2 linked regions of the Xenopus tropicalis genome follow. The protein of the gene in region 1 interacts with the protein of each later gene in a pairwise test. Links are inferred from orthologs where the notes say so. Each region holds a gene or a part of one and is shown on either strand. Other genes may lie near its edges.

Region 1 (6,368 bases):
AAAGCAAGATTTTATCAGTGCAAATCCATAGGAACTAGATATCACATTCCTCTCCGTTATACCATTAGGATAACAAACACTGAACATTTTGTCTGTAAAAACAGATAAATGGGCAACACAATTAATACAATTTAAAAAAAAAAAACACTAGTTGTTTATGAATCCAAAGAATAATTACACGTCTACTTAACAAATGGATCTCCTTATCCTGTAGAAATCACCTTTAAAATAGTGTGTATTTATTTATTCTAGATTCACTACTGGTACAGACTTCACAGTGATAAAACGGCAGACGATATATCAGTCTGCAATAAGAAATGAAGTCCACACGCCTGAGCCCAATGAGGAGGCAGAAATAAGATTCCTGAAGGGCAAAACAAAAATAAACCTCCAAAACCACCAATAGTAATAACAATAAAACGCAGCTTTCTGTGTAGTTAGGAAGAACTTCCAGCCCTTATCCCATCATGATTGCTTGCGTTACTGGTGGGAATGTGAACTCGATGGGTCCATCTGGCTCAACTCAGACTGGTCAAGTAGTTCAAAGTCATCGGCTTCTGCGTCAGTGTCCAGCTCAGAGCTGGAGTTTCTCTGATACTGTTTGGCTCTAGGACTTTCAGCATAAGCGTGGGTTTGCTGGCTGGCCCCTGCAAGTGCCAGCTGTATCATGCCCCTGGTCACAAATCCAGCAATGTTTTCCGTTATGTTCTGAGTGCTCGGAAATCCGCCCAGTGACAGCTCTGCATCCAGTGACTCTTGCTCCTCATACAGCTGGCGAGAGGAGAATTGCGGGTGAAGAGCTGTGCTTGGTATGCCAATGCTAGTTTCATCATCATCTTCTATTCCCGTTGCATCTGGGTTTATCGAAGGAAAGTCAGGGAGATCACGAGCAAATGACTCCTCTGGATCGCTGTGGCGGTCCAAATCTGTAAAGGATTAAACAGTTTAAAACTATTTGTAAATATGTGTAGGGATCTATTCAGTAGTAAATTAAAAATAATAAAACCAGCAGTTCATTGGTTGCTAAAGACCAGGGTGTTACCCTAACAACTAAAGTGAGTGCAATCTGCTAGAGCCAGCCGCTGTGAGCATTATCAGCATTGTTCGTTACTAGGCAGCATATTCTGTATTTCACACCCAAAGCATCGGGCGCTTTAACACAAATTCTGCTATTTTGCAAGTTCTGCTGTGAATATTCTCATATACAGAGAGGAGACATAAATCTTTGCTTGTTTTTTTACCTTCAGAACCTTCTGTAAGAGGTGTTTGGCCCCTGGATAAGTTGAATGTCCCATTTTCAGTGAAGGAAACTTCTGCATCTGAATGCTCGGAGTCGGAAATGGTCAGTTCTTTAGCTACTGCTGAATCATCCAGCTGGAAATCAAACACGCAATGGAGAATTATTAATAAAAATACACAATGAAAATATCTCCATTATAACACAGGGCTTTCAGAAACTTCAGCTAAAGGCCATAGTTACTCAAGATCTGCAATAAATGTTGTTTTTTTCCCTAGACACTGTCTACTGTATTTACATATGTATTAATCCCAATGGATTCATACACATACAAACAGTCCCTTTGGCCAAACAATAACACACTTATAGTTATGAGAGTAGGACATAGGCTGGAGGTGGGTCAGGCAATGTTCCCTCTAAACTGGGTTCTGTGTGGTTACAGAAGGGGACACCAGCGTATGGTTGGTTCATTGGGCTACAAGATGTATAACAGCAATGTGCTAACCTATCCCTACTAGTAAGGATAATAATGACAACTGTATAATTTTTTTTTATTTAGAAAATTGTACTTTTACCGAAGGACAAAATGCTGCAAGCTCTTCTTCACTGTCACTAGCATCAGTTGGAGGAAGGGCACGATTATGCTCTGAAATTAGAAATATAGAGAGCAGTTTTTCACATGAATAAAATAAGCAGAAATATGTGCAAGTGGTATATATTTAGAAAACAAAATATAAGGTAGCCAATAATATATGAGTTAAACCCATCCATTCACTAGCACACACTTATGAGTACGCCAGAGCAGCATTGTGCTGAGCAACTGTTAATATAGCCACCTATGCAGTGTCTGGTACATCTGGTCTTTCCAAACCTACCTTAATAATGCTGTATCTGTGAGATTTAGTGGGGCTGCTGCTAATGACCCACTAAACTGTGCAGGCAGCTTTAGATAGGCCTCAGTCCCAAATCTTGGTTACTTCAGTTAGCAGCAGTTAAAAGGACAATACACACTCCTATTTAAAGTAAACTTAATCAACTGGTCGTATGTCTTACATTAATAGGTCCATAAATCAAAATCTTTACTGCAAACTGAAATAAACAAGCATACTTCACACAATATCCAAGCTAGAAGGGTTTTATCATAGCCACTTACTTTGCCTTTCCTTATACTTGGACATCATATAGCCACGCACACTGAAGTCTAGCCGCTGCAGGGCTGGCTCCAGCTTCTGGTATATACGCCGCCCCAGCTGGTGATATATAGCAAGAGGCCAAAGCAGAAGAAAAAGTACTGTGGGGTGGCAAAAAAAAAAAACAAAGCAAACAGCATAATGAGAAGAATGTTTTTTCTTGCCCAACAGGGTAAGGCACTGATGGCATACCTATCTACTGTTATATGTCTGATGTTTGAAAAACAGAGATTTCAGTATTCAAAAAGCTTGTGAAATATATTTTTATCACATTCAACATGAACCTCTGTCAGGACTACCTCTAGACTGAACAGTAGGTCAAGCCAGAAGCGAGAGCAGAAAGCAGAAGTACATATTGTTATTTGGTTTTACCTGTTTTAATAGGATTTTCTAAACTACTGAAAGGTTCATGTTCAAGTAAAGGGTTTGTAATTAGTATAATGTAGGGATGAACTCCTTGTTCGCCAGATCTTACTGTAAATATGCTTTTTGGTACAAATGACCATTAATACAAATGAAAATATTCAACTTACAAAGCAAATATGACAGCACAACACCAGGAATGTATCCACCAAGAACAGCTAGGAAAGTCAGAAAGCTGCAGGCCAAAAGGCAAAACTGTATATGAAAAGACACAACAAGCAATAGGTTTACATCAGTCGACAAATACATGCAACATAAGAGGCATTCATCCATCAGTTTTGGCCCAAACCTCTTCTTGGTTGGTCTACCTTATTTATTTATATCAAATAGTAGTCAGTACACACACTAGTAGTGTGTTTGGGTGTAAGTCCTAAAGCAGCCACTATATTAGAATGATATGGACAACATTCCATAAAAGCAGGTCACACATGCCTATAATGGATAACGACTCTTCAAATTGCAAACTAACAATTACTGGTCTGTGTATATGGGCCAAAATGACACCCTTCCTAAACAACATCTGACTGACAATCTGCCAGATATCTATAAAAATTCCACTGGGCAACGACCGACTGCATCGGATTCTGGATGCAGTGATGCAAATACCTCTATGGTGATCCAATTGCTGAGCCCAATTCTTCCTACCACCTCAATGGCCTTCTTGTTTGGTTGGCTTGAAAGCCTACAAAACTCTATAATTCTTTTGGATGCAAGAAACCATATTTTAATTATTTTGATAGATGCCTGTGGGGTGGGGGGAATCACCATTTCAACAGCCTTAGAGAAACAGGTCATTTGTCCATATAAAACCAGGTAAAATAGTTTGAGGCGTTCAGAATAGTACACAAAATTTGAATTACCTTGCCCGGATTTTCAGTTTTGAAGAGCAGAAGATTCCTTAAAAAGTTGTAGACACTGACCCATGTATCAGCTGCATGATAGCACAGCTCTGGGACGCTGAGCAGCCTTGGATGCACATAGCCCCAGCTGAAACACACCAAAACTCATCATGAAAACAAATCTTTTAACATGTAGTAAGTAGAACAAAAAGACCTAAAAGTTAAAGAAATAGTCTAGAGATGCTAGATCTTATGTTTTCAGCTTTATGCCCAAGGATCACATGTTCTGGCTTGCAGTCAGTTACATGATCTTAGGAACAATATACAGTATATGCACAGTACAAGGCTCAGATTTACATGGCAGTATAGAAACCAGTGCATGTGAATTATGTGGATGTCTGGATGCCCCTGAACCTCCTTTTCTGCTAATTTTTTGATAATGTCAAACAACCAGAGCACACGGAGCATGTGCAATGCCACAGGCACAAATCAAACAGCCAAACAAAAAATGGAAAATTTTAAATTTAATATTATAGGGCTACGGTAAATAATTGAATATACACATTTATATGTTAGTTGTCTGGGGATATAAGTAATAATTCTTCCTGGTGTCACCAAAAGCAATAAGAAATCACGTCTTCTCGCTCTAAATGTCTATGCAGTCTAATCTGATGTCCTGTTCTCTCATAATAGGTCTCCACAAATCTATGTGACATATTATATATAGTATGTATATATTACTATTATATATAGCATGTAGTAGTATAAAAGAGATAAAGCAAAACGGAGCTGAACATAAAAAGCATAAATGTTTCAGCTGTCTGGCATCAACCTCAGTCAGACCCCAGAAGCATCTGCTAGGGGTGGCATAGAACTACAACTCTCACTTTCTCATAACTAAGGTAGGTAAGGTGTGGCTAGTTCTAGAAGAACTGGTATGGCCAAGAAAGCAATAAGGCAGTAAGGTATAACTATCTCACCTTTCATTCTCCAGTTCACTGGCTCTTGCTGCTGAAAAAACACAAACAGAAATAGTGAGAACTAATTAACTAATTTGAATATTGTATCTTTTAAAGCACCAGGTATATTATATATTCTGTACTGTCTCTTTACAGGGGCAGAATTGGTAGGTAGGTGGTGCAATGGAACAAAGAAAAGTCTTACCAGTGAAAGTCCTTAATGGGGTTTTGCTAGAAGGGTCTGCATTAAGTATTGCTCATGATCTAACCTATGTTTACATGCCATGGGCTTAACTAAACGTGTCCCCTTAAAAGACAATTCACCTTGTAAGAAGACTAAAGGTGGCCATACACGCACCGATATTATCGTACGAAACCTCGTTTCGTACGATAATCGGTGCGTGTATGGCATGTCGGCGAGTCGACCGATATCGCAGGAAGCTGCCGATATCGGACGACTCGCCGATCGGACAAGTTTGAAAATTTTGATCGGGCGCCATAGAAGGCGCCTGACCAAAATTCTCCCTTCAGAGCTGAATCGGCAAAAGGAGGTAGAAATCCTATTGTTTCTACCTCCTTACCTGCCGATTCAGCCCTGAATGGTGTGTGGCGGATCTTACGATGTTTCGTGCGACCGATGGTCGTACGAAACATCGTCGGATCGCCACGTGTATGGCCACCTTAACACTTTCCAAATTCTTTAGGAATGGTCACCCCTTTGTTAATTGGTATGTATAGACAAGTCTGAAATCTTGTCTATATCAAGGTTTAACCATGATAACCACCCCATGGATGTTGGAGAACTATTGTACTGTGGCAAACTTCAGGAAACCTTGGTTCCAGTGAAAGGACATTATAAAAACTGTATGTATTTAGTTTTTCTTTGTTGCCCAGGGGCTGATTTGCTATAAGCAGACCTGTTTGTTAAGCTAAATGGCATAATCATATGGCTTTCGATTTAGTCCTGACCAATATGTGTGCTCCGATAGCGTTTCATGTTCATAACAGATAACTCTGATAAAGTATGTAATCATGCTGAAAGCATCAGAAAGAAAGTTTCTAAGCAGCACCAACAAGAGACCTGTGTTTATTTGCATGATACTTATGCAGGAAATATGGGGACTTATCCATATCTTAGCCTTTATAGCCCAGGGCTGGCTTTGCTGTGAGAAGATAAGCTCACTGGAAGACTGCAATTAGAACTACGGCTTTGCAGAATACTGCTTTCAGTTTTGCCCTGGCCAGTAAAGAGTATGTGAGAGCTCATATAGGAAAGAAGAGTTGCATATATACACGTGGAATCTTGTATAGATAGAAGTATATCAAGTTTTCAGTGACAGCAAGGGAAGATAATATCAAGAATTCTCCTTACCTCCCAGTTCAGGCCACAGTTTGTTCTTCCACTGATCTGCACAAATGATTATCATTAGTCCAAATGCTACCAAAAATATGATTCTGAGAGAGGTCAGGGCAAAAAACCTGCAAGTAAATAAAAAAAAGATAGTTGAATAACCAAATTATTTTGCACTTTTTACATTTTCACCACAATGAAAAATGCATCAGCTGGGGGCACTGTTCCGGCAGCACCCACATTATTCCTGTTGTCCCAGAGATCTGAACTGTCCCGATAACACACATGCACAGGAAAATAATAATTTCAACTTTAAAGTTGCAGTCCGGATTTTTACTCTGTGGGACATATGCAATGCTCAGGACACCC
Region 2 (6,168 bases), about 12 Mb from region 1:
GATTTCAGTCGCGCAGGCCCGTCGGTAGTGCCCATACACGGGCCGATTAGCTGCCAAATCGGTCTAAGAGGCCGATATCGGCAGCTAGAATCGGCCCTTGTATGGGGGACCTTAAGGACATGTGGGGCTGAAGAGACTTCTAACATCCTTATGCTTAAACACTTTCAGTGCCAGGCTCATTTAGGTCAGGAAGCAATGGGCTGACTTACTAGATGGCATTTCAGGGATATCTACGTAAGAGAGCTCTACGCACACCCACATTCCACCCCCTTACTCCCTCCGGCCTAAAATCCCCAGTAAAAGGCTTGTCATTCACTCATACATACAGTCTTTATTTTAGCAGTGCCCCCTGAAGCTACTCAGCCCACATCCAGTAATTCTGTGACTGTACATATGAGTCAAAGTTACATTCTGTGTGTAAAGAATTCCCTCTTAGCAATCGCTTTAGATGAAAAGCAATGAATGTGAGAGGCAATTAAGCCTATAAATAGAAACATTGATAAAAGATTGGCTGGGGCTCCAGAACAGGATCTGACAGCTACGTGATTCGCAGAAGGAATATATCCATTGATTCCATTCAGGGTGGGACAAATAAAGAAGCTGGAAACGGCTTCTTGTAGCCCATAAGGACATGTTTACCGTCCTTATGGGTTTTTTTTTTTCTTTAGAAGCACAGGCCTCATTACATCTCTTCACGGAATCCCAACGATGAGCATAAACACAGGGCTGAACATCTACATGAGAAAGCCTGAACTTGCTGAACTACAAATCTCAGCGTGCCCCAATGCCTGAAGGCAAATAATACTGACATCTTGAAACATAAAGGTGGAAGCTATAGAGTTCAGGTATTAGGCTGAACCAGGTTATCCAGTTAAGCAACATAATACTTAAAAAATGACATGCACGTTAATTGCCTGCTGTAATGAACGTCCTGTTAGACTATTAACAGAACCTACAATTTATGGAGGGTAAATAGTAACGTGACCATGGCAGTTTTTTCATGAGCCAACAAAATTGCTTATCATATTTGACACTGCCTTTGCTAATAGAAGAACTTCTATTATCTGGGATGCTTGGAGCAGGTAGTAGGGGGTACAGATATAGAGGTCTGAGTTAAGCTGCTGATTCAGGTCCTTCAGACCCATTCAGCAGCTTCTCTGCCTGTGTATGGGGACCCCTGACCTATATCTGACCATAAATTGGGCAGATGTCGATTAGGAAGGTTTGATTTTCCCATCAGATCGGCGACTTCATTGACTTATTGATGTGTTCTTTGCTCTGAGGGGCCTTTTCCTGTCATTGTAAATCGATCATTTGGACCTCGCCAAAAACTCTATTAGATATGGCAGGGCAGTCCAACTGGAGGGCTATGGGCTGGATGTGGCCCTCCAAAAGATATTTAAGGCCCAAAGTCTGCTTAAAGTCTTCATAGACTTCACTGTATGACATCATCATTTTAACTGCACTGAGCTATGGGATACAGTGTTTATTTATAATAAATCATATTTATAATAAGGCACCCAAGGGCCAGTGCCTAGGGTGGGCGGTCCTTGGGTGCCTATATTTTTTTGGGGGGATTTAAAACAAAAAAAATGCCCCCAGCCTCTGCTGCTGATTCCCATAGGAAAACCGGTGACGGATCTGGGCAGTAGGCGGTCGTGGGCCACTTCCGCAACAGCGATGCGTGTGACATCACAGGCACGATGTAGAGGCATGTTAACCCACTGAAACCAACCGCATGTCTGCTTTTATTACTCTAAAATGGTTAGAATTATAAAACAGATGTCCGATTGGTTGCTATGGGTTTAGCTGGCCATACATGGGCTGATAAAACTTGGCCACCAATGGGCCTTTCAAACCGCTATCTGCCCGAAAATCAGATTTCTATTGGGCAAATTTGATTTTCCCATCCAATAAGGAGCACATTAGCCTTAGGACCCGCCATACGATCGTTGGCCCAGATCTGCTCAGCAGATATATGCAGTCTATATCCAGCTTTACTGATCTGCATCCTACATAACCCTCATATCCATTATCCAAGGCTGATTCATATCACAAGCAGCAAACGGAATTCTTTCAATATTTTTTTTATTCTTATTTATACACATGAAATGTATCAGTATATACACACATCAGCTTTTTATATTTATATAGTTTTTTTTTGTACATTTTCTCATTGCAGTATAGAGAGGGGAAGTCTCATTTACCCTCTCACCGTTTTACGTTCCATCAGGAGAACAACAAAAAGATTAAAATAACTAAAAACAGAAAAAGGAGACTTTAGCGAGACAGAAAACTGAAGTCTAACTCTGTACAGCTATTAACAACCCCCCCCCGACCCCCCCTAGTCACTCCGTATTCATGATTATCAATCACTATAACACTCAAGAAAATCAGATTTATGCCAGAATTTGGCAGATTAAAAGAATAAAATAAATCGTACAGGTAGAAAGAATCGGTTACACACAAGTATCTCCATTTTCGAGAGAACTGATTTTTTTTTTCTCTTTTGTATCTTGCTGTTTACTAAAATCTACAAATAGCGAAAGTTAATGGTGTTGTTGCTATGGCCAACGACCAGCGGCTACAAGAAGTGCAAGCGGAGGCATAATAACAGTGGGCCTAACAGCAGGTATATATTTTGCCCCCCTAAAAAAGAAACAGTAAACCACGTGAGTAAGCCCATTGGCCAGCACTGGTTTGATGTTATACTAAAAAGCTGCCATGTTGTTATTACTTGTGACCGCAGTGAATTCCTCTGGACAACAGAAGGAGCTCTTAAAGTGCTTCCATGATTACACACTGGAAATCCTGATAAACCGTAAAGCAGGAAACTGTAGTGGATATCTGTGAGTGCTGCAGTTTTTTGAACAAAGGGTTAACCTCAAAGGTTTATTGTCCCCTTTACTCCCTAAGCTCCACTGATGAGACCAGACAATATAGACCCAAATGATAAAATTATGGGCTCCATTTTGTGATGGAACGCCGATATTAATACCCTTTGTACTTTCAGTGGTCCTCGGGCCCCTAAATGTCCACATTTCTATAATTTGTGCCCCTGTTTGCAACCTCACAAATATGAGCCACAAAAACTCTATCTACAGTTACACAAAAGGGCAAACCTTTGTTGCAGGAAAGTGTGTTACACATGGGGCACCCCATTTTTACTGCGTGTGTGTAACCAGGAGATTCTGCATAGCAGCGGAAGGTTGATTGCGTGCAAGCATGAAATCTTACATACAGGCATGGGGGGTATGAATGTGTGCACAGAAATAAGTGTGCGCATACACACATTGCATTAACAAGCGTCCAAAGCATGGTGGAATGCTCGTGTAACAGTATTTGTGCGAGGCAGTACTTGTGCAAGAATGATTTGTTGGTATCTACAGGCAAGAAGTGTGGTTAAAATCACATGTAAGTGTCAATATGCAAGAGTGTGTCTGTGCATAGCCGTGTTGGATGTGTGTTGGCGTGCGAGCGATTGTGCATCCTCAGGACATCAGTGGCCGAATGTTTCCTGCGAGGCATACACCATGTACAGGAAGCCGTCCTCATCCTTCTCCTGTTCGTAGATATCCAGTATTGGGGTGGAGACACTCACCATGCTGTGCTGGTTAACAAGCAGGAAGAAGGCCTGGGTGGGGTTCAATTGCAGCCTGCGTCTGGCAAAGGGAGGGAAGCAATTATCAGGCAATTTGCTCCCTGACTGAGAGAAGAACTGGCAATAGCTCTGTTATATAACTACAAGGATGTGCAACGGTGAGGGCATGTATACAGGATGAGGCAGACCTGCTCCTTACAAGGTAGAAGTATCCAGGGAGTTACAAGGTGGGTTATATAGAACAAAGGTATAGGTAGGGTTATATGGAGCAATAGGAGGAGTTATAGGGAGGGGTATATGGAGCAATAGGAGGAGTTATAGGGAGGGGTATATGGAGCAATAGGAGGAGTTATAGGGAGGGGTATATGGAGCAATAGGAGGAGTTATAGGGAGGGGTATATGGAGAAATAGGAGGAGTTAAAGGGAGGGGTATATGGAGCAATAGGAGGAGTTATAGGGTGGGGTATATGGAGCAATAGGAGGAGTTATAAGGAGGGTTATATGGAGCAATAGGAGGAGTAATAGGGAGGGTTATATGGAGCAATAGGAGGAGTAATAAGGAGGGTTATATGGAGCAATAGGAGGAGTAATAAGGAGGGATATATGGAGCAATAGGAGGAGTTATAAGGAGGGTTACATGGAGCAATAGGAGGAGTAATAGGGAGGGTTATATGGAGCAATAGGAGGAGTAATAAGGAGGGATATATTGAGCAATAGGAGGAGTTATAGGGAGGGGTATATGGAGCAATAGGAGGAGTTATAGGGAGGGGTATATGGAGCAATAGGAGGAGTTATAGGGAGGGGTATATGGAGCAATAGGAGGAGTTAGAGGGAGGGTTATATGTAGCAACAGGAGGAGTTATAAGGAAGGGTATATGGCGCAATAGGAGGAGTTATAAGAAATAAAATGAGATATATGGAAAGTTAAATGGAGCAATTACAAGAGTTAGTTATATATATATATATATATATATATATAGAAATATACATAATAGGAAGAATGGTTTACCTTATGATTTTCACTAGTTCACTCATATTCACATGATCTGGAACAAGGAATTTTGTTTTATCCAACACAGGCAGCTGCTTCTCCCCCTTGTATCGCTCTATAATAACCTGAAACAACAAAAGAGACCACTTAGAATACCCCCCCCAACCACAGACCAGACAACCTTATCTTTCTGCCATTCAAAACCTGTGAGGCTACACGCAACTGGCAATATGGCAGCTAACATGTAAACATATATATATATTTTTTTCCCTGAGGAAGAGCACAGTTAGTGCTCGAAACGTTGGATCTCTTTGCTTAAATAAACTTACTATATTTTTGCCAAGTCCTGGTGAGTGCAGCTCTTTTTTCTTGCTATATATATATATATATATATATATATATATATATATATATATATATATAATGAAAAAGAAGGTTCTTTTAACAAATAGCTATGTCATCATACTGTTTTGCTTGTTCTGTACCCTTAGAAACCACATTCACATGTAAGACACAGTGTTCTTATCCTCTTTCCTTTTAATTAGATTCTGTGATTAGATTTAACCAAGGTCTCTTCATCTCCACCCTGAGAAACAGAAACAAATTCTTTCCAATATACTAGGGACAACCAACCTTCAATAAATTTTCTGAAAAAGATATTTACATATACAGTACAACCATTCAGGGGTTATGCACTTCGGTGCATATATGTCAGCCCATACATACTTTATATTATATATACAGGTATAGGACCCATTATCCAGAATGCTCGGGACCAAGGATATTCCGGATTAGGGGTCTTTTAGTAATTTGGATCTTCATACCTTAAGTCTACTAAAAAAAATCAATAAAACATTAATTAAACCCAATAGGATTATTTTGTATCCAGTAGAGATTATTTATATCTTAGTTGGGATAAAATACAAAGCACTGTTTTATTTTTACAGAGAAAAAGGAAATCAATTTTAAAAATCTGAATTATTTGATTAAAATGGAGTCTATGGGTGACGGCCTTTCCGTAATTCGGAGCTTTCTGGATATCGGGTTTCTGCATAAGGGATCCCATTCCTGTATATATTACCAGAAGGGTGGCTCACCACTTTAATTAAATACCCAGGTGCACAGTAAAAATATAACACATCATATTAAAAAGACCAGCAACACTGGGATTTCTGTGCAAATCAAAAAAGTACATTTAAATCCCAGTGTTGCTGGTCTTTTTTATATGATATATATGATTATATATATATATATATATATATATATATATATATATATATATATAAATTCCAGCTTATGTATGCCACAAATTCCCCTGAACATTGTTGCTGAAAGGCTCTGTATAAACACATACTTGACAGGTATATAACTGGACGCCCAAAGTGCTTACAGCTAATCAAAAAAAGTACATTAAAGCCCTAAACACTGCTACGCAAATATATCACATAAGCCAGTCTTTAGTTATAGGAGCATTTCATATCAAAAATCTATATTATATATATTTCTAACAGTATGTGCCATATAGAAAACACTGCCATTTTAGACACTGCACTCACACACAAACCAATGACACGCA

Evidence for each region. The genes of interacting proteins can lie anywhere in the genome.
Region 2: the proteins of retreg3 (region 1) and map1lc3a interact in binary tests that used the Homo sapiens proteins (3 or more experiments, as listed by UniProt). The link is inferred for Xenopus tropicalis from reciprocal best matches to the Homo sapiens genes RETREG3 and MAP1LC3A.

What each region holds. Positions count from the first base shown.
Region 1 is NC_030686.2:29,106,936-29,113,303, reverse strand, and holds part of retreg3 (reticulophagy regulator 3), read right to left. Parts: intron 6,128-6,368; coding exon 6,021-6,127; intron 4,701-6,020; coding exon 4,670-4,700; intron 3,838-4,669; coding exon 3,711-3,837; intron 3,046-3,710; coding exon 2,961-3,045; intron 2,529-2,960; coding exon 2,391-2,528; intron 1,884-2,390; coding exon 1,813-1,883; intron 1,375-1,812; coding exon 1,242-1,374; intron 927-1,241; coding exon 481-926; 3' UTR 1-480. UniProt on the Homo sapiens protein: Endoplasmic reticulum (ER)-anchored autophagy regulator which exists in an inactive state under basal conditions but is activated following cellular stress.
Region 2 is NC_030686.2:41,163,125-41,169,292, forward strand, and holds the end of map1lc3a (microtubule-associated proteins 1A/1B light chain 3A), read right to left. Parts: intron 4,718-6,168; coding exon 4,611-4,717; intron 3,663-4,610; coding exon 3,500-3,662; 3' UTR 2,072-3,499; downstream 1-2,071. UniProt on the Homo sapiens protein: Ubiquitin-like modifier involved in formation of autophagosomal vacuoles (autophagosomes). While LC3s are involved in elongation of the phagophore membrane, the GABARAP/GATE-16 subfamily is essential for a later stage in autophagosome maturation.